3 linked regions of the Stegostoma tigrinum genome follow. The protein of the gene in region 2 interacts with the protein of the main gene of each other region in a pairwise test. Links are inferred from orthologs where the notes say so. Each region holds a gene or a part of one and is shown on either strand. Other genes may lie near its edges. The genes, in order: esr2a, ncoa6 and oxysterols receptor LXR-beta-like.

Region 1 (8,065 bases), on a different chromosome or scaffold from region 2:
CCCACCATCTGCAGTTAATTCATTAAAAATTAAGGAAAGCATCAAACTGAAGGAAAAGGCACATGACTGTTCAAAGTTAAGTGGCAAGTCGGATAATTAGTCTGAGTATAAAGAAAGCAGAATATGATTGAAATATTAATCCAGAGTAAAAGTAAATTAGACTATGAGACAAAGCTAGCTCGGAGTGTTTAAAAGTGGAAGAGAGTATTTAAAATGGAAAAGATTAAATACCTCTAGAGTAGGAGAATTGGTATTTAATAGCAGACAGTAAGGAAATAGTGGACGAAATGAACAGATAGTTTCCGCTGTAGAGGATGAAAGCCATCTCAGTAACAGCAGTAAATCAGGAGTGAGGAGCTCAGTGAGATTACAATCACTGGGGAAGTGGGACTGAGCGAAATGAAGAAGCTGGCATCTGACAAGTCTCTGGATCCAGATGCCTCAATCGTAGGGTCTTAAAAGAGATGGTCCAACAGGTAAGCGATGCATTGCTGTTAATTCTAAAATTCTATCTACGTCTCAATCTGAAAAATCAGTCCAACCCTCTGGTGCAGTACTGAGGGACTGCTTCACTCTCAGAGGTGCTCTGTTCTACAAGACATTGAACTGAGGTCCAAGCCGATTCTGGTCGATGCAAAATATTCCACAGTCACAATTTAAGAAGCAAAGGGGAGCTCTCTCCAGTGTCCTGACCAATGTTTCATTTCAAAAACACTGAGACCATCTCTCTATGTTTTTGAAGCAGATATTCTGATTATTATCACAGGACATATTATGGGGGCTCACTGCGTGCAAATTGCTTGACCAATGTTTTCAACAGTGACCACACTTTAAAAAGATACCACCTGCGAAATACTTGAGGACATCTTGAGGATGAGAAGGATGATATTGAAATGCAATTCCTACCTCTGTCCTACTGACACTTAAGCAGATCAGTTGAGAACAGGCCCCTATTGTGAATACAACAGCAGGAGAGATGGCCAGAGAGGAGAATAGGGCAGGGGGGCACGTTCACTGTCCGTGGTATATCGTAGACAGAGAAAAGAAAGTGTGAGAGTTTTCTCTAAAGCAAAGATTCCAACCTGAGTGAAGCTTTTTGCTTGAACATGGGCTGTGGCTGGATTTGTAACAATATTTTAACCGGTGACTGAGTGTGGAATGCTCTAACAGCACTGGAAGGATGCAGGGTTAACGGAGACTCAGCAATCTGTTGCAATAAGCTACGTCTCTCTCAAAAACTAAGTAATACCACCACCTGGAGGAATAAGGGAACACACTCACACTCACACTACAGACACACACACACACACACACACACACACACACACACACACACACACACACACACGCTACAGACACACCCACACACACACACACACACACAGACACATACACAGACAGATGCGCGCACACACACACTACAGAGACACACATAGACAGACACACTCACTCTCACACACACATTCACACACACCATTTCCAAGGCTTCCAGATGATATTTACAAAGCCAACACCAGGTTCTCAATCAGTGAGCACTGAACCAAAGCCACCTTCACACAGGGATAATGTTTACAGTTTGTTCACTGAGACTGGCTTTCATGTGCCTCACCTGGACAGGTGATTACACACAGGCACTGACCAGGCTGTCTCAGGATGTAGAACCCTTCAGGCACATTTGTAGGGGTGGTCTGGCTGGGGATGCAGATGATCAGTGTTGGTGCCGGAAGTACATTTTCCAATAAACGTGATCCCAACTTATGTGCGGTCCCAGTTCCCCCAGCAGCCTGGGGGCAATGCCCAGTGTTGGGGGGGGGGGAATGGGGTGGCTCAGGCATTTGTGACCTGCTGACTTTTACCCCTAGGCTACTGCTAAGGCCCTAAACTGGGGCAAATTGGGGAATTATTACACTCCAGTCCATGATCAATTTCAATCCCAACTCTGAATAAGGGAGACGGGGGGGGGGGGGGGAGTGAGAGGGGGGGAAAAGGAGAGAGGGCGAGAAAGAGTGGAGAGGGGAGTGAGAGAGAGGGGAGGAGTGGGTGGTGACAGAGACGTGAAGCAGAGGTAGAGCGAGAGAGATGAATGAATGAGTGAGAGAGAGAAAGAGGCGGAGAATGAGTGAGTAAATGAGAGAGGAGGGGGGGTGTGGACGGGAGGCAAGTGTGAGGATCCCATTCTGCTGTGATGCCTGATGTGGCCAAATAGCTAGTCAGCACTCACAGTGGAGCCTGGGAGAGTGCGCTCTCTGGCAATAGCCCCTGGCTGCCCTCTCAGGGGTGCAGTGAGACCTGGCACCACATCAAAGTCCGGATTCGGAGGGGACCGAAACCCTCTGAGTGTGAACACGAGTGTCCAGCTCAGTCCCTGAATGAAACACAACACAGCTGGGAATTTCTGAGTAAGCCCCCGTGCCCCCTGTCACTGGGCAGTACCTTCTCTCTCCCGCCCCCACACCCCAGGATGCTGGGGGTCCGGGGCAGCACATGAAGTCTGAAATTCACGGAGGGATCTGAAGTCGCCCGCGAGAGGACGTGGGCGTTTAAAAGAAAACATTTCCCCGGACAGGATATTTTAACAGGATTGCTGCGTTTCAGAAAAAAAAATCACAGCTCAATGAAAAACAAGTGTCGGGAGTTAGTTGTAAAGAGAGAGAGAGAGAGAGAGAGGTGAGAGTGGGGAAAGAGACAGGAGCGAGGAGAATGTGAAATAGGATGGGGTAGGAGGGAAGAGTTGGGGGAGAAGGGAGGGAAGAGTTGGGGGAGAAGGGAGGGAGGGATAGACAGGGGATAAAAGGGAGACCCAAGGAGAGAGGGTACCCAGAGAGAGAGTGTGTACACAGGGCAGGCTGCTCTCAGATGCTCACCGTCTCTTCAGCAGCTCCTCCCGGTCCATGGTCCTGCTGAAAGTTGTGTCAAACTCAGGTACCTCGCTGTTGGCCTCCAGCATCCACAGTCTCCAGCTGCTGCCTCCCTCCCCGCCTCTGCGTCTCTGTGCAGCCCCAGCTCAAAGCTGCTCCCTGGAGCTGGGGAGGGAATAGGGAGGCTGAGGAATGCAGCTGCGCTGTCTCTCTCTCACACACACACACACAGAGCTATTGGTGGGAAGCGCTGCTCAGCTGCCAGTGTTCTCACTCCCACTTACTGCCCTGGGAAGGCAGCGCCATCTGCAGTTGTCAGTCAGCACCATTCCAACACCCCCTCCCTCCAACTCCTCCTGCAAATCCCCTCCTCCCTCTGACTCTCACCAAAGTACATGGACACAGTGGGGAGATGGGAGGGTGTTCTGCTATTCCACCAGCGGGTCTAGGCCAGACATTCTTATGTCTTCACATCTATTTCAACTACTGAACCGTCAATGTCCTCTTTTTTTTATAAATCCATGGCCAACCAGCCCCATCATTCCCCGTACCTGCATCCCGTGGTTATAGCAATGCAGAGTTTAGAACTAGCAGGAGTGAGAAAGACTGAGCAGCATGCCAACTATACCAATTTGGGTGGCTCAGGGGTTATCGCTGCTGTCTCACAGTGCCAGGGACCCAGGTTTGATTCCACCCTTGAGCAACTGTTGGTGTGGAGTTTGCACAATTCCCCCCCACCCCATGTCTGAGATAATAGGAACTGCAGACGCTGGAGAATCCGAGGTAACAAGGTGCGGAGCTGGATGAACACAGCAGGCCAAGCAGCATCTTAGGATCCTGCTGTGTTCATTCAGCTGCACCCGCCGTGTCTGCATGGGTTTCCTCTGGGTGCTCCGGTTTCCCCCCACAGTCCAAGATGTGCAGGTTAGGGTGGATTGACCGTGCTGAATGCAGGGTTGCCAAAGGGTGGGGATGTAACTCTGGGTGGAATGCTCTACAGAGGGTAAGTGTGGACTCGATGTGCTGAATGGCCTGATTCCACAATGTTTGGATTCTAGGAACTAGCTTCAGAGCAGGCTAGCAACTCGTGAGGATCGACATGCAGATGCTGTAAGGATGAGGAGATGGGAAAAGTTTTTTTTCAGCCAGTGAGTAGTTAGGATATGGAATGCACTGCCTGATAATCAGAGATTGCAGTGATGATGTTGCCTCGTAGGGTAAGAAAATGTTTGCACACCATGGAACAACCAGATCAGCAAAGAAATGAACAATTGAAATAACAACCCGAGCTACATTTCACTAAGACTTTAAAAATACACCGCCTGGAAATGTAGTGGAGGCAGGATCATTGAGAGGGTTTGGGTAAGAATGGTGTCCCAGGGATTATGGGAGAAAGCAGGAGATTGGCAGAAGGGAATAGGACCAACACAAGAATGGTGGGTCGAACAGCCTCATTTAGCATGGTCATTGTTCTCTGAGAGCTGTGAGGTGTGAGACAGAAGAGATGGGGGTGGTGAGGTGTGAGACGTAGACTTTAATTGCTGGGCTATAAGGAGTTGTTGATGACTTGGGGGTCTGGGGTTGACTATGAGAGCGACCGGACGGAAGGAGACAATTGGATTATAAAGCACACAGACTCATCAATGGAGGGTTCGAGAAAACACAGAAGTTGTGCTGAGCATTCATGAAGCTGAAATAAAACAAAGAACTGGAGCTCACCACAATCTTCTCAAGGGGCAATTAAGGACAGGCAATTAGTACTGACCCAGCCCTCCCACAGATGTATATTAAAAAATAATCTGAAACAGAAACTGCTGGAAAAATTCCTAAAATCCTGACAGTGTGGAAGCAGGCCATTTGGTCCATCCAGTCACCACTATCCTTCTGAAGAGCATCCTAACAAGACCCACACCATCCCTGTAACTCTGCACTTCCCAAGGCAAACCCACCTAGCCTGCACATGCCTGGAATCTATGGGACAGTTTTGCATGGCCAATCCACCCTACCCTGCACATCTTTGGACTGTGGGAGGAAACCAGAGCACCCGGAGGAAACCCACGCAGACACAGGGAGAATGTGCAAACTCCGCACAGACAGTCACCCGAGGCTGGAATCGAACCTGGGTCCCTGGTGCTGAGAGGCTGCAGTGCTAACCGCTGCCCTAACTCAGCAGGTCTGGCAGCACCTGCGGAGAGGAAGCAGAGTAAACATTTCAGGTGTAGTGACCCTTCTTCATACCTGATGGTAGCTAGGAAAAGGTGGTATTTATGCTGAAGACAGGGGTTGGGAGGGGGATAAAGGGGTAGGGGAGGTAAAGGAGTGTGCAGTAGGTGAAGATGGACCCATTGGGAGTGAGTTTGCAGACAAATCAGTGGGTAATAGTAAGTCAGGGAGACAGAATAAGTCTGATAATAAGAGCCATTAGTGGGTGAAAATGGTTAGCTGTGTGGAAATCAGCCAGAATCATGGCAGAGGCTGAAGAAAGGATGTAGAAAGGAGGTTCCCAGGCCCAAACATTATTGTTCTCAATATTGAGCCCTAAAACCTGTGGGGTCCTCAAGCAGAAAACAAAATGATGCTCTTTCAGACATATATACCATCCCTACCCAGCTACAGTCAGTTCAATTGTAAGGTAACTAGAATCGATGTATTATCTCTGTCTCTCTCTCCCTCTCTGTCCACAGATGGTGCCAGACCTGCTGTGTTTCTCCAGTCATTTTTGTTCTTGCCCCGTAAAGCTGCAGTTAGGCCACAACCAGGGCCTTGAGCCCAGTCAAGGCACCACACTACGCGAAGGGAGCAGGATCCTTCGGGACAGTGTAGGGAAGCAAGTTTGGTTCCAGGGATCGGAGAAGTTTAACTCCAGATTTGTTCTGGAGAAACTGATGTTCCCGTTGGGAGAGAGAGAATTGGAGGGAGATCTGATCGAAGGATTAGTTTGGGATTGATACAGGGCTACAGGGAGTGAGCGGGCAGTGGGATTAGTTTGGTGACTGATGGGCCAGAGGAAGAGAATGGGGCAGAGGGGTTAATTTGGATAATGATTCAGGGCCATAGTGAGAGTGATGCCTAAGCACAGTGGCCAAGACAGTGCAGCACTCCCTCAGTAAATACCGATATTGCATTTCTGCTAAGTCTCTAGACCTGGGACGACCCCACAACCTTCTGCATCCAGGATGGGAACAACAGCCACTGGGCTATGTGGAAATGTCCTAGACATTGTCAAGGGGCTGAGTGGCCTCCAGCTCGTGTGGAATGGTAAAAGCAGGCTCTCAGGATGAAAGGAGCTGTGCTGTTGTCCTCAGATGCTCTCTATCTGAACCAATCTTCAAACTCCAATCCTTCTGAAAGGAGTCACTGCATCAACCAGCAATCTCACAGATTGATTTGTTACCGCTAGATGTGAACATTTTTCCAAAACGTTCACATATTGGTCCTGCTGTTCCTGATCTAATCTCAATTCCCAAATTAATTTCAAGTCTTAAAATTGACTTCAAAGCATCTCACTAATCTGCCTTTAATTATAAAAATGAATCTAGATTCTTTCCAGATTGTTATCTGCACAGAGTCGTTAAACTGCAGGCTGGTTGGGATAATATACTAACTTGTTTTCTTTCTGACTGACTCTGAGTCTGACAGAGGGTCCCTACAAAACACTCCTTCATCAAATCCTGATAACTGATGGCTTCAAATGATGATTGCTGGACATACTAAGCCAAGAAGCTAAATATTGTCATTGGCCTCTTGAAACATCTCCTGTAAATCCCAGCCAAAAGAGCAGAACAGTTTCCATCTGACAGAGGCAGAGACCCCAGTTAAAACTAAATCTCTGATCCAAACTCATAACAAGATAAGAAGGGGAGTCTGCAACAAGGGAACATAACCTTAATCTCAAAAGCAGGCTAGCTGAGACGGTAGTCAGGGAATATTATTGGAAAGACAGAGACTTGCATGAGCGTTGCAGAAAAGAAAAGGCGCATTTTTGCATAGAAAAAACTTTCCATCTTGTACCATTCAGGACAATTTGCAAGAATACCAAAGTGAAGGGAAACTGACATTTATACTGCAAGAGGGGAGTTGTGAGGATGGCAAGTGGCCCAGATTGGGAAAGAAAAATAGAATATAAGGCACAGATTTTGGAAATCAGGAATAAAAATAAAGTGCTACTAAAAATCAGTAGCGTCTGTGGAGAGAATGCAGAGTTAACATAGAGTCCAATCTGATTCTTCTTCAGAGCTTCTTCAGGCTGCTAAAGATGTTGCCTTACACAATGCACCTGTGATATGATGACTGACTGTTAACTGTTACATTGTGTGCATGGAATCAGCCTGTAGGAAACATCGAGTATATTTAAGACAGAGATAGATGGGTTCTTGATTGTCAAGGGGATCAGGAGTTATGGGGAGAAAGCAGGAGAATGGAGTTGAGAAATATATCAGCCACGATTGAATGGCAGAGCAGACTTGATGGGCTGAATGGCCTAATTTCTGGTCCTGTGTCTTATGGTCTTATGGCCCTTTGTATTAATGTGTGGAGCTTCCAATTTGTTCCTATGTATCATACTGTGAGCCTGACTGACCATCATTAAGTGACTGCCTGCGCAGCTTTTTTGCTCACTCAGGAATATCTGGCAAATATCGCCCAATCACAGAATCGTTCGAGATTAGAAGGATGGAAGAGTATCTCATAGAGTTCACAGACTAGATGCAGGAGGAAACTTCCTCTGGTTGGGGAAAGCAGAGGTTACAGTTTCAAGATACAGCGAAGACTATTTCAAACTGAAAAATGAGGAAAATTGTCTTCAGTTGGAGGGTGGTGAGCCTGTGGAATTCCCTAAAACAGAAGAGTATGAAGGTTTGATTTGATATGATTTATTATTGTCACATGTACCCAGGTACAGTGAAAAGTTTTGTTTTGCGTGCAGTCCAGGCAGGTCACACCATACAAAGTGCGTTAGGGTAATGGAATGGAGCAATGAGTACACTGTTACAGCTGCAGAGAAGGTGCACAGGGAGTGAGGTCAACATTAAGTTCAAAATTAGAGAGGTCCGTTCAGCAGCCTAATAACAGCAGGGAAGATGCTGTTCTCGACCCTGTTGGTGTGTGTGTCTAAGCTTTTGTATCTTCCGCCTGATGGAAAAGGTTGGAAAAGACTGTAACTGAGGTGGGAGGGGACTGTGATGGTGTTTGCTGCCTTCGGGAAGCAG
Region 2 (7,296 bases):
GACTGACCTATCCCCCTTCTACCTCCCCACCTATACTCTCCTCTCCACCTATCTTCTTTTCTCTCCATCTTCGGTCCGCCTCCCCCTCTCTCCCTATTTATTCCAGAACCCACACCCCATCCCCCTCTCTGATGAAGGGCCTAGGCCCGAAATGTCAGCTTTTGTGCTCCTGAGATGCTGCTGGGCCTGCTGTGTTCATCCAGCCTCACATTTTATTAACTAAACTTAACAATATTTCTCAAAGACATTTGTGAAACAAGCCTGTAAAGATGCAACTTTTATGTAAAAGCAAAATACTGAGGATGCTGTAAATCTGAAACAACACATGAAGAATACTGGAGAAACTCAGGAGGTCTGGCAGCAGCTGTGGAGAGGGAAACAGAGTTAACACTGAGTCCAGCATGACGCCACTTCAGAACATCATTCTGTTTTTTTCGCAACCTTTGCATGTTAATGCATAAATTATTAAGTACTTAAAAATTAATTTGCAGCCTATATGCCAACTTTGTGCATCATGCATATTAAGATCAATAGTCTTAAAATTTCAAGATCTTCCCCCTACCTAATGTCCACAGTAACATGGATCACAAAAAGCTTGATTTGCCTGGATGTGCCGTTAAACAAAATAGAATTAAGTACTGTGTATAACATTCTGAAAATACAAAATATCAAGATCTAGGACTACAAATGTGTAATTACAAAACTCTGAGGTGTACACAGAAATATTCAGCACCAGTGACAACCCATCAATTAAGTATGCTTCTGTTCACTATAATTTCAATGCAGCAGCTCACTGTATCAATGGAAGGACCTATGTCCCTGCAGGCCAGTGTGGACCAAGACAACATGAAGGACTTTGTCTTGTTGCAATTTAGTCTACATTCATGTGCCATTCGTTACTGATGAATATAGCTGCAATATCTGCATTAGCACAATTAATAAGGCAGAAGAAATCACAACATGAAAGAAATTTTAAGAAAAACTTCTGCTTGAGGTACAGAAAAACTTGTTACCTACCAACTGTCTTTAAAAGGTATCAACCACACAAAAATGTAGTGACCAGTGCAAGGTATAAGCTGTATGTATTGAGTCAGTGTCAAAGTAAAAGTAAAAATCAACACCAATAAAAAGGGCCTTTTCGCACACCAACACACTTCTCAGCTAACGTGTCACAGAAAAATTAATTTTACCAATAAGAATTATTTAAAATATCAACTTGAGAGATCTACATCCAATACTTGACAAACAAGTTCATGTGAAAGTGTATGCCTTGTAAAAACAGTAAGCTAAAAAAGACAGACAGTAGGAACTGCAGATGCTGGAGAATCTGAGATAATAAGGTGTGCAGCTGGACAAACAAAGCGGGCCAAGTAGCATCATAGGAGCAGGAAAGCTGGCATTTCGGGCCTAAACCCTTCTTCAGAAAAGGGTCTAGGGTCTTCTGAAGAAGGGTCTCGGCCCGAAACGTCAACTTTCCTGCTCCTTTGATGCTGCTTGGCCTGCTGTGTTCATTCAGCTCTACACCTTGTCATGTTAGCTAAAAAAAGACAGTAAGTTATTACATGCTCTACAGCTGGTTTCTACTCATCATTCCACACAGAAAAGCTGTTTAAATGGATCTCATGCACTGCAATAATTGAGCCACCTACACAAAAACTTCAATGTACAATTTAAAAATCAAACAAGTTCGTATAACTTAATGAAACCAGTTCTGAGGAAGGGTCACTGGACCTGAAACATTCACACTTTTTTTTTCCTTCACAGATGCTGCCAGACCTGCTGAGCTTTTCCAGCAACTTTGTCTTTGCTCTTAGTAAAATTATTTATTTCACCCTTGAAGCAAGTTTCTGGAAGTCGCTACAGATACATATCCATCACATTCAAATTCTTTCCTATAGGTTTAAATCCAAACCAACAGAAACACACTAATTCACAGATCAAAAACAGAACATTTATCATTAAGGATTTAACTGGTACTCACATTCATAACAAGTAAGAAATTGATCAAGTTACCCAATGTTAGTAGTTTCAAAACTTAAGGAAAAAATTAGGGAACGTCTTTAATGAGGATAAATAATTTGAAGATGAAATACAGAATTACATCAGTTAATATTAAAAAAAACACATTGATTGTACTACACATTGCTTCTGTAACAACGTATTTAACTAATGATAATGTAGCCCCGTTTCTGCAACTGTATAGACAAACATCAGAAAGAACCTTGCCCTTACTACAGTTTTATGTGCTTTTACTATTGAATTCAACAAAAAATGCAATACAGGATTTATTGAAGTAAAATTCAACTGTATTTAACATGACAGGAAAATTTGCATCATCGCATTCTTCAAACAGAACAAAACAACTTGATCATAATCACTATCAGACAAGAAGTAAGGAAAAGTGACATTCGAACTCTGCTCAAATGGGTGGTGGAAGCCTATTCAAAGGTATTTTTTAAAAGGGAACTGGATAAATGTCTGAAAAGTGCAACTTGGCAGGAGTAATGACAAAAGAGACGAGGCTTAAGGACTTATTGCAGATTTTGTTTCAAAGAAGCAGCAGAGGCATAATAGGTCAGAAGGTCGCGTTCTAGATTATTATGAGAAATTAAACAGACCACAACAGTGTTTAACACCGAACAAGGGAATGTGACAATTGGGAGGAAACACTGTGATACGAACTGACAGATCGATCTCAGGCGCGCCGAGAGTGAACTATTCTTAAAAACATATGGATAGCTGGTTTGTGTTTAAATTAATCGACTAAGCGAACTGGGAGGTTTGGGTATCAACCCAACACCGTACATTGAGGCGGAGAGGGAAGGCAAAGCTCGAAACACTGCGGCACAATGAATGACGGGGTGGGGGGGTGTTTAAGAGTGGCACCGGGCCCGGGATTGATGCCAAGCTTGCTCTGCCCCCAAGAGTCGTCCGAGGCTGGCAGGGCCCCGGTCTCTGTCACAAACTTACCGGCCTCAGTCAAGCTGCTGACCCAGTCGCTCTCATCCCTGTGATCACTGCTGGAACCTTAGTTTCACACAGCCATAAATTTCACAGGTTGATGCTGAATAGAATTTGCGATCGGCTCCCTCCTCCCCCTCCCATCCCCCCCCCCATCCAAGACCCGTCAACACAGCGACCAGCATCCACAGAGAACTACCCACTAGCCGACCCCCCCCAAACAGCCGCGCTCCCATTGGACTCCCCTCGACGGAGGCGTGATCGGGCTTCAGTAAGGTGCTGTTCCATTGGTCGGCGCGCCAGCCAATCAATGCTCAGGGCCGGCAGCGTGGTGACGTCAGGAGCCGCCCCGGCGGCTGAGAAAACTCCACCCACTGGAGGTATCGCGCAAACTGTTCTGTTTCAAGATAATGAGGTGCGGGGCTGGATGAACACAGCAGGCCAAGCAGCATCAGAGGAGCAGGAAGGCTGACGTTTCGGGCCTAGACCCTTCTTCAGAAATCTAGTACTATATTCAGTATTTTGTTATATTGCCTTGATTTAGTTATTTAAGGTTTAATTTGCCTGGATAGCACACAAAACAATGCGTTTCGCTGAAAACAACATATGCTGGAGATCACAGTGGGTCAGGGAACATCTATGGAGAGAGTGCAAGCTAACGTTTCAAGTCTAGATGACTCTTCATCGTATTCGCTGTATCTCAATACGTGACAGTAATAACAAAGTGTGGAGCAGGATGAACACAGCAGGCCAAGCAGCATAACCAGCCCAGCCTGTCTCTGCCTCCCTAACCTGTTCTTCCTCTCAGCCATCCCTTCCTCCCACCCCAAGCCGCACCTCCATCTCCTACCTACTAACCTCATCCCACCTCCTTGACCTGTCCGTCTTCCCTGGACTGACCTATCCCCTCCCTACCTCCCCACCTATACTCTCTCCACCTATCTTCTTTACTCTCCATCTTCGGTCCGCCTCCCCCTCTCTCCCTATTTATTCCAGTTCCCTCACCCCATCCCCCTCTCTGATGAAGGGTCTAGGCCCGAAACGTCAGCTTTTGTGCTCCTGAGATGCTGCTTGGCCTGCTGTGTTCATCCAGATTCACACTTTGCTATCTCAGATTCTGCAGCTCCCATTACCACCTATTATCTCTGTGACAGGAATGGTCCGGGAGAGGGCTGCGCTTGCGCGTCTTAGTCACCATGGGAATAACCGCGCATGCGCTTCGCCCGGAACTGCCGGCGAAGCCATTTTCTCCGTTTTTCTTTGTCCGTCTGCAGTTCATTGTCAGCTTTCTGCTTCCCTGGAAAGGGTCTTTGTGGTGCACTGGTAATGTCCCTATCTTTGAGCAAGAAGGCCTAGGTTAGTTCAAATCTCACCTGCTCCGCAATTGTGTAATGACATCAGAAAAACAAAATTAAATAGTAGTTCTTTTGTGCAGTGGTAATGACCCTAAGGCTTGGGCTCATTGCCCTACCTGCTCGATAGTTATGTCATGACATCTCTGAATAGTTTGAGTTGATTTATTACTGTCGCATATCGAGACACAGTGAATCTGAAAAAGACTCATCTAAACTTGAAAAGTTAGCTTGCCCTCTCTGCATGGATGTTCCCTGACCCACTGTGATCTCCAGCATTTGTTGTTTTGTGAAAAGTATGGTTTTGTGTGCTCTCCAGGCAAATTATACCTAATATAACTAAGTCAAGGTAATAGAACAAAATGCTGAATATAGTATTACAGCTAAAGAGAAGGTGCAGCAAAAGATCAACTTTACTATATGAGACCTCTGTTCAAAAATATAAGTAATGGTTCTTATAGTCTAGTGGTAATGTTCCTAACTCTGAGCCAGGTGGCATGGGTCCAAGTTGGACCTGTTTGAGAGGTGTGTCACCTCTCAACCCACCTGGAGTCAGAAAATTCAACTTATACAGGGAGCACTGCTTTCTAGTAGTCCCTGACTTCAGTCTCAGATTTGAGTAACCTGGTTCTCATATTCTTCTTTTCACTTAGCTGAAGAACCAAACAATTATATTGGAGGCAATGATGAATTTCACTGTTAGTGCCTCAAGAAGACAATGAGTTCCCAAGTTATGGAGAATGATCCACGTTCACAGCATCCCACTGTTAATCTTAATCAATGGAGTTGGAGTAGGAAATGTTGTGCTATGACTTTCTGAGAATTACTTTGGGATGTTCAGCCTGTTTTCCTTGTCAGGGAGGAAGCTGAAAGGAGACCTGACATGTTCAAGGTTGTGAGGGCTCTGAACAGAGTAGACAGGGAGTAACTGCACCCACTTGTGAAAGAATCAAGAATGAAAGGGTGCAGACTTAAAGTAATTGACAAAGGAAGCAAGGCAGTGGTTTGGGGGTGGGGGTGGGTAATAGGAACTGCAGATGCTTAAGAATCTGAGATAACAAAGTGGAGAGCTGGATGAACACAGCCGGCCAAACAGCATCTTAGGAGCAGAAAACTTTTCTGCTCCTAAGATGCTGTTTGGCCTGCTGTGTTCATCCAGCTCTACACTTTGTTATCAAGGCAGTGGTTTGGATTTGGAATACACTGCCTGAGACTGTGATGGAGGCACATTCTGTGGCTTTAAGAGATGTGTTTTGGTGTTTTAAAACGAGACTGGGGAAAAGTAATGAGCAGTCTGTGAGAAGACAAACAACTTGTGAAGCCTTGGGGAATTTTTTTAAAGTCATAACAATCATGCAGCATGTATGGGTGTGATCAAGCTCTCACAGATCCAGGATTTTTAGTTAGATTTCAGCAGTTGTTGCTGGGGTCTCAGCGGTAGAGGAAGGCAGTTAATCCCTCCTGGCTACTACATTTTCGGAACTGTCTTTTGATGTTCTTTCGTCATAGATTAGAGAACTGCATGTGAAATAGTCTGTTTTCTGAATTTGCCTTTTTGCTAAGGGTGTGTTTATGAGATGTTAACAAATTGGAACAGTTAATTAGTCTTATTTATGGTATTTATTATTGTGTTACGTTTTCCAATAGAATTAGGTTATCATAAGTTTTTGTGTTTTGACTGTAGTGTTTTAATAAGTTGTGTTTTGCTTAATGTTAAGTAGCTTGACCAATCAAATTGCATCTGGAACATAGTTACAACAGTTACCTTTAAAATAAAAAAAACAATTGGAGTCTAGGCTACCTTCTTAATATATTTTGAGGAGGTCTGGTCTGGTCCATGACAGTATTTTCAAAAGAGAATTAGCCTGTTGCCTGAAAAGGAAGACTTCATGGTTGAGGGGAGAAGGCTGGAAAATGGCAGTTAGTTAAAATGACCAAAGATACAGTGGACTGAATAGTCTCCTTCTATGCTGAAGGAATTCTGTGATTCTGGGTATTTGGCCCAATTTCTCACTTACTCATCAAGGACATGCCTTCAACCCTCCTTAAAAAGACACCCCAGCTTTTTTTTAACCTTCACTACTCCATACCAATCTTCTGCTTAATGATGTAGATTATTCTACAGAATTGCCTAATTATAGCTGTCTGTTTGTAAGTAGAAATAAAAGCAGGAAGTGGTGGAAATACCGAGCAGTTTGTGAGAGCATTTGTGGAGAGAAGTGGAATAAACATTTCAGGTCTGTGACTCTGATCCAAACTAGGAGAAATTAAAGATGTAATAAGCTTTCAGCAAGGGCTGGGCGGGACAAAAACAACAAAGTTTTGTGACAGAAGAGTTTGAAAGACTGAAGCACTAGCCTTACATTGCCAAAGAAATTGGTGATGGGTCAAGAAAAGAAACAAAGAAATAAAAAAGTGCCTAGAATAGATACGATGCTGACTGAAAAGAAAATGAAACAAGCAAAGAAAATGAAATGGAACAGACATTATATAGTCTGAACCCAGTAATGAGTTTGGAAAGCTGAGTTCAAAGTGAAACACTGTTCCTCAAGGTTGTGTTTAGCTTCACAGGAACACTGCAGCTAGCAAGGTGCAGAGATGTTAGTGTGGGAGCCAGATGTCAAATGACAGATCACTAGAAACTCAAGGTGGCCCTTACAGGTGTTCCATGAATTGGTCACCAAATCTCCATTTGGTGTCCCCAGTGTAGGAACCATGTAAATAGTGAATACGGTAGATGAAACTAAAAGCATACTTAAATGAGACACCACAAAATGTGGAGCTGGAGGAACACAGCAAGCTAGGCAACATCAGAGGAACAGGAAAGTTGACATTTCAGGTAGGGAACCTTCAGAAATTTTCCAATAGGGTCCTCTGACGCTACCTGGCCTGTTCCTCCAGCTCCACACTCTGTTATCTAGGAGTAAATTGTTTGTTTGCCAAGTGGCAGACAGTGATTTATGGGGTGTTGTAAGTATCAGTG
Region 3 (7,537 bases), on a different chromosome or scaffold from region 2:
CAGCTACACACTTTGTTATCTTCCAAACTCCCACATGGCTTTTCAAACACACGCCATGGACATGAACTAAACTTGCTCAACAGCCGTGAAGCTTGGGCGGAAAATCCTCTGAAATAAACACACATCTGAAGAAACATCTCCACGTTTTTTCAAGACCCGCAACTTTCCCCACTCAGTGGCCGAGAACACCTTCGACTGTGTCTCCCATATTTCCTGCAACTCGTCCCTCACACCCCCTCCCCGTAATAACAACCAAAACAGAATCCCCCTTGTCCTCACATACCATCCCACCAATTTCCAGATCCAATGTATCATCCTCCGACACTTCCGCCATCTGCAATCCGACCCCACCACCAAAGACGTTTTCCCCTTCCCACCATTATCTGCTTTCTGGAGGGACCACTCTCTCCATGACTCCCTTGTCCGCTCCACACTCCCCTACAGCCCACCACACCTGGCAATTCTCCCTGCAACCGCAGGAAGTGTTACACCTGACCCTACACCTCACCCTCACCCCCATCCCAGGCCCTAAGAAGATCTTCCACATCAAGCAGATGTTCACCTGCACATCTGCTAATGTGGTATACTGTAACCGCTGAACCTGTTGTGGCCTCCTCTACATCGGGGAAACCAGGCGGAGACTTGGGGACCGCTTTGCAGAACACCTCGGCTCGGTTCGCACTAAACAACTGCACCTCCCAGTCGCAAACCATTTGAACTCCCCTTCCCATTCCTCAAATATTATGTCCATCCTGGGCCTCCTGCAGTGCCACAATGATGCCACCGGTAGGTTGCAGAAACAGCAACTCATATTCTCCTTGGGAACCCTGCAGCCCAATGGTATCAATGTGGACTGCACAAGCTTGAAAATCTCCCCTCCCCCACTGCATCCCAAAACCAGCCCAGCTCAACCCCGCTTCCCTAACCTGTCCTTCCTCCCACCTATCCCCTCCTCCCACCTCAAGCCCCACCCCCATCTCCTACCTACTCACCTCATCCCACCCCCTTGACCTGTGTCCGTCCGCCCTGGACTGACCTATCCCCTCCCTAACTCCCCACCTCCACTCACCTTTACTGGCTGCATCCCCGCCTCTTTGACTTGTCTGTCTGCTCTCTCCCATCTTCTCCTCTATCCACCTCCCCATCTCTCCCTATTTATTTCAGAGCCCCCTTCCCCCCCCCATTTTCTGAAGAAACGTCCAGGCCTGAAAAGTCAGCTTTCCTGCTCCTCGGATGCTGCTTGGCCTGCTGTGTTCATCCAGCTCTACACCTTGTTATCTCAGATTCTCCAGCATCTGCAGTTCCCGCTGCCTCTCCACATGCATGTTTCATTCTCCTTTGGAGCACTGGACAAACCTAGATGGAATACGGAGTTAACAAGGTGTGGAGCTGGATGAACACAGCAGGCCAAGCAGCATCAGAGGAGCAGGAAAGCTGACATTTCGGGCCTAACCCTTCTTCAGATGATGCCTCCAAACCAAAGAAATTAGGGATGGGTAACAAATGCTGCTCTTGCCAGCATTCCAAAAAGGCTATGGTTAAAAAAAAAGAACTGCCTTTATTTTCCAAATGTTGCATCAAAAATAGTAACATATTTAATATATTTTTTGCATAAACTCTGACAGCAACATAGTGGAATGTCCCAAATACAGGAGCCATATGATTCAACAGGTAAACAGGTCATCAGGTTGCCATAGTCTTACCAGACCACATGGCTCCTCTTTCTTTTGAGACAGATGACTGGTGGTGATTCAACCTTGGGGCCACCATATCTTAGGTGAGGGGAGAGGTTGAGAAGCAGTGTCCTTCCTGGTGTCCTCAGCTGGTGATGGGAATTGAACCCATAGCTGTTAGTTTCACAAACCAATCCCTGAGAAGTAAGCAGAACGCGTTGGAAATACACTTGCTCAGGCAGCATCTGAGGAGAGAAACAAGATAATGTTTCGTGTTGGTGGCCTTTTGCCAGAACTGGAAAACATTAGCCGTGTAAGACGTCTGAAGTACAAGACAGGGATGTGGTGGAGATAAAGAATGGGATAGTTAAGCAGGCAAATGCGGGAGAAATTAAAGAGCACAAAGGCAGATAACCCAGAGTAAACAGTGGTGGGAATAAGACAAATAAAGATACCAAGAATTGATCTAATTGAGATAAGACAGCAAAATCACTAGCAATGACTGCTGTTTGGAAAACCAGCAATTGTGAAATTATTAAACTTAGTTCCATTAGCGGCTATTCATTCTCCCAGGCTGACCGTTATCCACTCCTTTCTCTGCCCATCTGCTCTGCTCTCTGTTCGTCCTCTATCCCCACCTATCACTTACTCCTTAACCCTCCCCCCACCCTACCATTTGCACAAAATCAACCTTTTCCTAGCTACCATCACTGAAGAGGTCACGCTAAATCTGAAACATTCACTCTGCATAGACCTGCTGAGCTTTTTCAGCGATTTCTGTTTTCGTTAAACTTGGATGTTGAGTACAGAAAGTGCCTGATTCTGAAGTTGTATAAGATATCCAACTGAAGACAATTTACAGGGCTTAGAATGGGAGAACAAAATTCTCCCTCTCTCTTGTTTTGTTCAGGGACAAGCAGTGTTTTCTGAATGGTGCAGACTCAATGGGCCAAAGGCCCTTTGTTTGTGCTATTGATCTGCACAACTCTAAGAGGCAACGGCTCAAGGCATATCCAAATTAATGGGTGACTCAGAGGCTTTCCTTGAGTTTGAACGACTTAAAAATATGCATTGATATGTATCAGGAGTCAATGCTTATTGGGGTCAGTTTGGAAAATGGAGTTGAGGCCACCACCTTGCTGAATGGCAGAACAAACTAGAGGGGCCAAAATGGCCTACTTCTCGTCCTCATTCTTCTATTTGTTTGCATGCATCCATCACCAGCAGAGGTTTGCAATGCAGCTTTGGCAAAATTATTATTAAAGGAGGCAAAAACAGAAAACGTTGGCAAAAGTCATTAGATCTGGGAGCATCTATCAAGAAATAAATGGAGATAATGTTTCCAATGCAATGAGTCATACAGATTTTACAGTATGGAAAGCAACCCTTTGGCCCATCATGTTTATGCCTATCAGTAAGCACCCATCTACTCTAATCACATTTTCCAGCACTACCCATAATAATGATATATGTTTGCAATGACATTTCAAGTGCTCATCTAATTACTTTCTAAATGTGTTACAGGTTTCTTGCCTTTACTACTCTTTAAGATAGAGAGTTCTAGATATCCACTTCATTCTGAGTGAAAGTTTTCCCTCAAATTGCCTCTAAACCTCCTGATCCTTACCTTAAAAGTGTGCCCTTTCAACAAAGCAGAAAAGTTTCTATCTGTGCGCCTGAGAAATTTATACACCTCATGACTATCTCTTAACTATGGACTTTTCTTTCTCTCCACAGATGCTGCCAGACATGCTGAGTTTCTTCAGCACTCAAATGAAACAAAGAACTGTGGATCAAGAACAAAGTTGCTAGAAAAGCTCAGCAGATCTGGCAGCATCTGTGAAGGAGAAAACAGAGTTGGCATTTTGGGTCCGGCGACCCTTCCTCAGAAGGGTCTTTGGTTCTGAGGGTCACTGGACCCAAAACGTTAACTTTGTTTTCTACTTCACAGATGCTGCCAGACCTACTGAACTTTTCTGGCAATTTTGTTTTTGTTCCTGATTCACAGCATCCACAATTCTTTTGGTTTTTATGAATCTGAAACAAACACAAAAAGTGCTGGAGAAACTCAGCAGATCTGGTAGCACCTATGCAGCAAGAAGCAGAGTTAACGTTTTGAGTTCAGTATGACTCCACTCCAGAACTGGAAGGATTCCTGGACTCGAAACGTCAATTCTGTTTCTCTCTCCACACATACTGCCAGACCTGCTGAGTTTCTCCAGCAATTTCTGTTCTTATTTTCAGATTTCCAGCATTGTTTTTATTGTGGCAACAGCATCATTCTCTTTGGTGTGAGAATGCACTGTCATATTGAGCAAAGGGGCTAAGTGCATGCCACTGAAAAGCAATGGCCAGTTATTGGGATAAGCCAGAGGCCGCTACAGGAGAACCATCCACTTCTCCCCCGAACAAAGATGGCGCCCCAATGACGCAACAGTCAGAGGGGCAACACTCAACGGGATTCGATTTTAATATAAATAAAAAAGTTCAGATATTGAATAAATCTTTTTGCCTAGCAAAGCGCCGCCATTGTTTTCAAATCTGGAAAGGAAAAACCTGTAGGAAAGGAATGATATAACGCTGCAGCGGCTTCCGCCGGATGTGGCATCTACGCCGTGCGTCAGACAAGCTTGACGGCGGTGGTGATGGACGTGGAAGTTCACCAATAACACCAAGGAGTGGGCACGCGGTTGTCCAATGATTGTTGGAGATAGGCGGGACCCGCGGGAACGGTCAGGTTAGGTTGCGCCTGGGTTTCCCTGAAGTTGTCAAAGGAGGGGGAGGGGAGAGACAGAGAGAAACTACAGGAGAAAGGGGAAAGTTCCCAGGGGTTGGACGGAAAAATAGTCGCTGTACTTAAAACCCCAGGCAGGCCGGTAAGGACATGGGGATTGTGATATTGATGAGTTCTGGTGTGTGATGATTCCAGTGGAGGGGAGAGCGTTTAGATCTGTTGCTTGTTATTCCTGTTTAAATGCTGCATTATTATTCTGGGTGAGCTGGAGAGGGGGTTGAGTTGAACAGGGGGTTGGAAAGGCCTCCTGCCTGTATCCAGGCCCAGAGTGGACTCTGTCTGTCTACACCACACCTTTCGGGGGAAGGGGGGAGCTTTGAGATCTCAAATTTTCCCTCAAATCACTGGCTGGGCTCAGATCATGCTCATCAGCAGGCTGGCTGTAAAATTGCTTCAAATCACTGTTTTGTGGCAATGATTTGACTGCTGCGTTTGTTTTAAGAAGTTGCTGGATGTTCTTTTTTAAAAAGTAGTTTGAAAACTGATACGTTTTGTTTGAGCCTCTGCCATCACGGTCTCTTTCTGAGTGACTGTTAATCTGACCTTTTGCTGGCTAACTGGCTCGGTGTTTCTATCCTTTCTCAATGTTTGGATGTTGCTTAACTTGCATCGTTAGTTCAAACCCATGACTTGGATTCAAGAAAATGCGGTGAAGGAGAATACTGTGCTGCGTGCTTAAATTTGCGCGAAACATCTTACGAGAGGCAATGATACAGAGCAATCTGCATTCTAAATAGTTCTTGATCTGTTTTCTGTGTCTGGTGTGGTGCATTGTGGTGTAATTTGGACAGACCCTGAGAAAGTAAGATTGAGATTTGCAGAAAAATAAATCACCTTCATGTTTTATTTCTGTGACAGCTAGCACTCTCAGGGTTGTGGTGGGATGTGGGAACGTGCTTGTCACTTGCTGGGACTTAGCAATGCTGTCGTGGAGGAATTTTTAGTGTACCGAAAACACTTCGCCATACAAGGGGGAGAGATGGAGCAGGAGAGCAATTGTCATTGGTCTTTTCTAGTGCCACTTTAGGATTGACACTGGTGGATGTAGAGCAGTTAATTGGTAATCTATCTTGTTTTTCACTTAAGAAAGTGAGTGGCATGATGGATGTGCACACATACTCACCCACTCTTCTAAAAACCAGTCAGTGTAGACTAGCACTGTATGGAGTGGGGAGGGGGATGTGCATGGTGTTTTAAATGAGTGCCGTAATAGCCCTGGGGGCTTGAATTTGTTATGTTTGTACTTGTTTTTTTTGAAATTAAAACCAAAATAACATGAGAATTGTAAATTATTTTCATAATTATGTTGCTTACATGATTTTTGTGCCCACATAGAATCCTTTATGGTGCGTTGCCTTATGACTAAAGATTGAACAGGCTAACCTTCATTTCATTTGACTTCAGGGCAGCAATGATCTGATCAAAGTTTATCAGATTCCTGAATGGTCTTAATAAAGTGAACATGGAAAGGATATTTGCATTTAAGGGGGCATCCAGACCTAGGCGGACTGTTAAAATTAGGGATCGTGCTTTTATGGCCAAGATGAGGGATTTTTTTGGTCTAAAAGGATTTTGTGATTTTTGGAACATTCTTCCTCAGAAGACAGTGGAAGAGGAATCATTGGAATATTTTTAAGGAGCAGGTTGGTTCCCATGCCTAACAAGAATCTAAGATTATCAGAGGTAGATGGGACTATAGAATTCAGAACACAAACAGATGATCTTGATGAATCATGGTGCAAGCTGGAAGGGCTAAATGTTACTGCTCCTGATTTGTCGTTCATTCTAATGTGGCTGCAGAGCATGGATGAATTGTTTGATTTTCTTCTTGTTTGCTGTGCCTAGTCTTTCTCACTTGCCATGTGTCCTTAACTACCTGTTTGAAGGATGCGATGCCACTACTTGAGACTACTTCCCAGGTTGTTCTTTCTTGCGCATTTTAGTCCCTGTCTGTGGTAGATAGACCACATTTCCTGAGGCTTGCCTTCAAGCAGTCCATGAACCTTCATCTTGGCAGACCTCACAAATGTATCTGAGTTGAAGCTGTGAATACATGACGGTGTTGGGGATTTAACATCAGTCATACATTTTGCATGTCTGCTATATCAGAGCTGGGGTTTGATGAGTGCTCCAATTTCAGGGATTCCCACTCTTTGAAATACTATTGCGTTGGGTACTTCTTAAAAATTTATTTGTGAAACCTGACCCTTGCTACCTAGGCCAGCATTAACTGCCCACCCTCAATTGCCTAGAGAGCAGTTAAGAGTCAACCACATTGCTGTGAGTCTGGAGTCCTGTGTAGGCTGTACAGTGTAATGACAGCAGATTACCTTCCCTAAAGGAGGACATCAGGGAACCAGATGGGTTTTTACAACAATGGATTGTTTTTAATTCCGTATTTTACTTGCTGCTATGGTGAGACTTGAACCCACCTCCCTAGAACATTAGCCTGGGGTTCTGAATTACTGACCCAACCACATTATCAAAGTACCACCACCTCATTTTGTCCTTCCATTGATGCCCATGATGTTCCAAATACATCTCGTTCAATTGCTTAATATGTCTAGTGTAGGTTGTCTAGGTCCATGTTTTTGCATCGTGAAGTTAACAATATAAAGCAGGAAGCTTGACTAATCCACCACCCTCCTGCTCTTAAGAAGAGTGGTTGTTCTGTTCTGTTGCTACTTTGATTCACATGAGCTGAGCAGAGATCAAATCTCAAACTGTCCTGCTGTATATGTCTCAGTGCCACTCCACAGCACAACAGAGAATATAATTCCCCCTGCTTTTCTTCCAAATACTGTTGTGGGATCTTGCACATACACCTGAGAAAGAGAATGGGTTATAGTTTAATGTCTCCTCCTTAGCAGCCCCTCGGTACTGTGCTGGACCTTCAGCTTTGATTCCTAGAAAGTGTACTTGTTGGAATGTTGGGCACAACTGAATTGGGCTGTTGTCTGTTGCCACCCATTGTCCAATTATATGCATGCAATCCAGGCCAACTTGGGAAGGACCATCACTCGGAGAGTTGTCTGTATTTGAAACATATTTCAGCAAGTTGGGGACCAAG

Evidence for each region.
Region 1: the proteins of ncoa6 (region 2) and esr2a interact in a two-hybrid assay, tested with the Homo sapiens proteins (3 studies listed by BioGRID). The link is inferred for Stegostoma tigrinum from reciprocal best matches to the Homo sapiens genes NCOA6 and ESR2.
Region 3: the proteins of ncoa6 (region 2) and oxysterols receptor LXR-beta-like interact in a two-hybrid assay, tested with the Homo sapiens proteins (2 studies listed by BioGRID). The link is inferred for Stegostoma tigrinum from reciprocal best matches to the Homo sapiens genes NCOA6 and NR1H2.

What each region holds. Positions count from the first base shown.
Region 1 is NC_081363.1:3,531,867-3,539,931, forward strand, and holds the start of esr2a (estrogen receptor 2a), read right to left. Parts: upstream 3,059-8,065; 5' UTR 2,948-3,058; coding exon 2,865-2,947; intron 1-2,864.
Region 2 is NC_081372.1:13,070,265-13,077,560, forward strand, and holds the start of ncoa6 (nuclear receptor coactivator 6), read right to left. Parts: upstream 3,092-7,296; 5' UTR 2,971-3,091; intron 1-2,970. UniProt on the Homo sapiens protein: Nuclear receptor coactivator that directly binds nuclear receptors and stimulates the transcriptional activities in a hormone-dependent fashion. Coactivates expression in an agonist- and AF2-dependent manner.
Region 3 is NC_081391.1:16,073,125-16,080,661, forward strand, and holds the start of oxysterols receptor LXR-beta-like, read left to right. Parts: upstream 1-4,432; 5' UTR 4,433-4,549; intron 4,550-7,537. UniProt on the Homo sapiens protein: Nuclear receptor that exhibits a ligand-dependent transcriptional activation activity. Binds preferentially to double-stranded oligonucleotide direct repeats having the consensus half-site sequence 5'-AGGTCA-3' and 4-nt spacing (DR-4).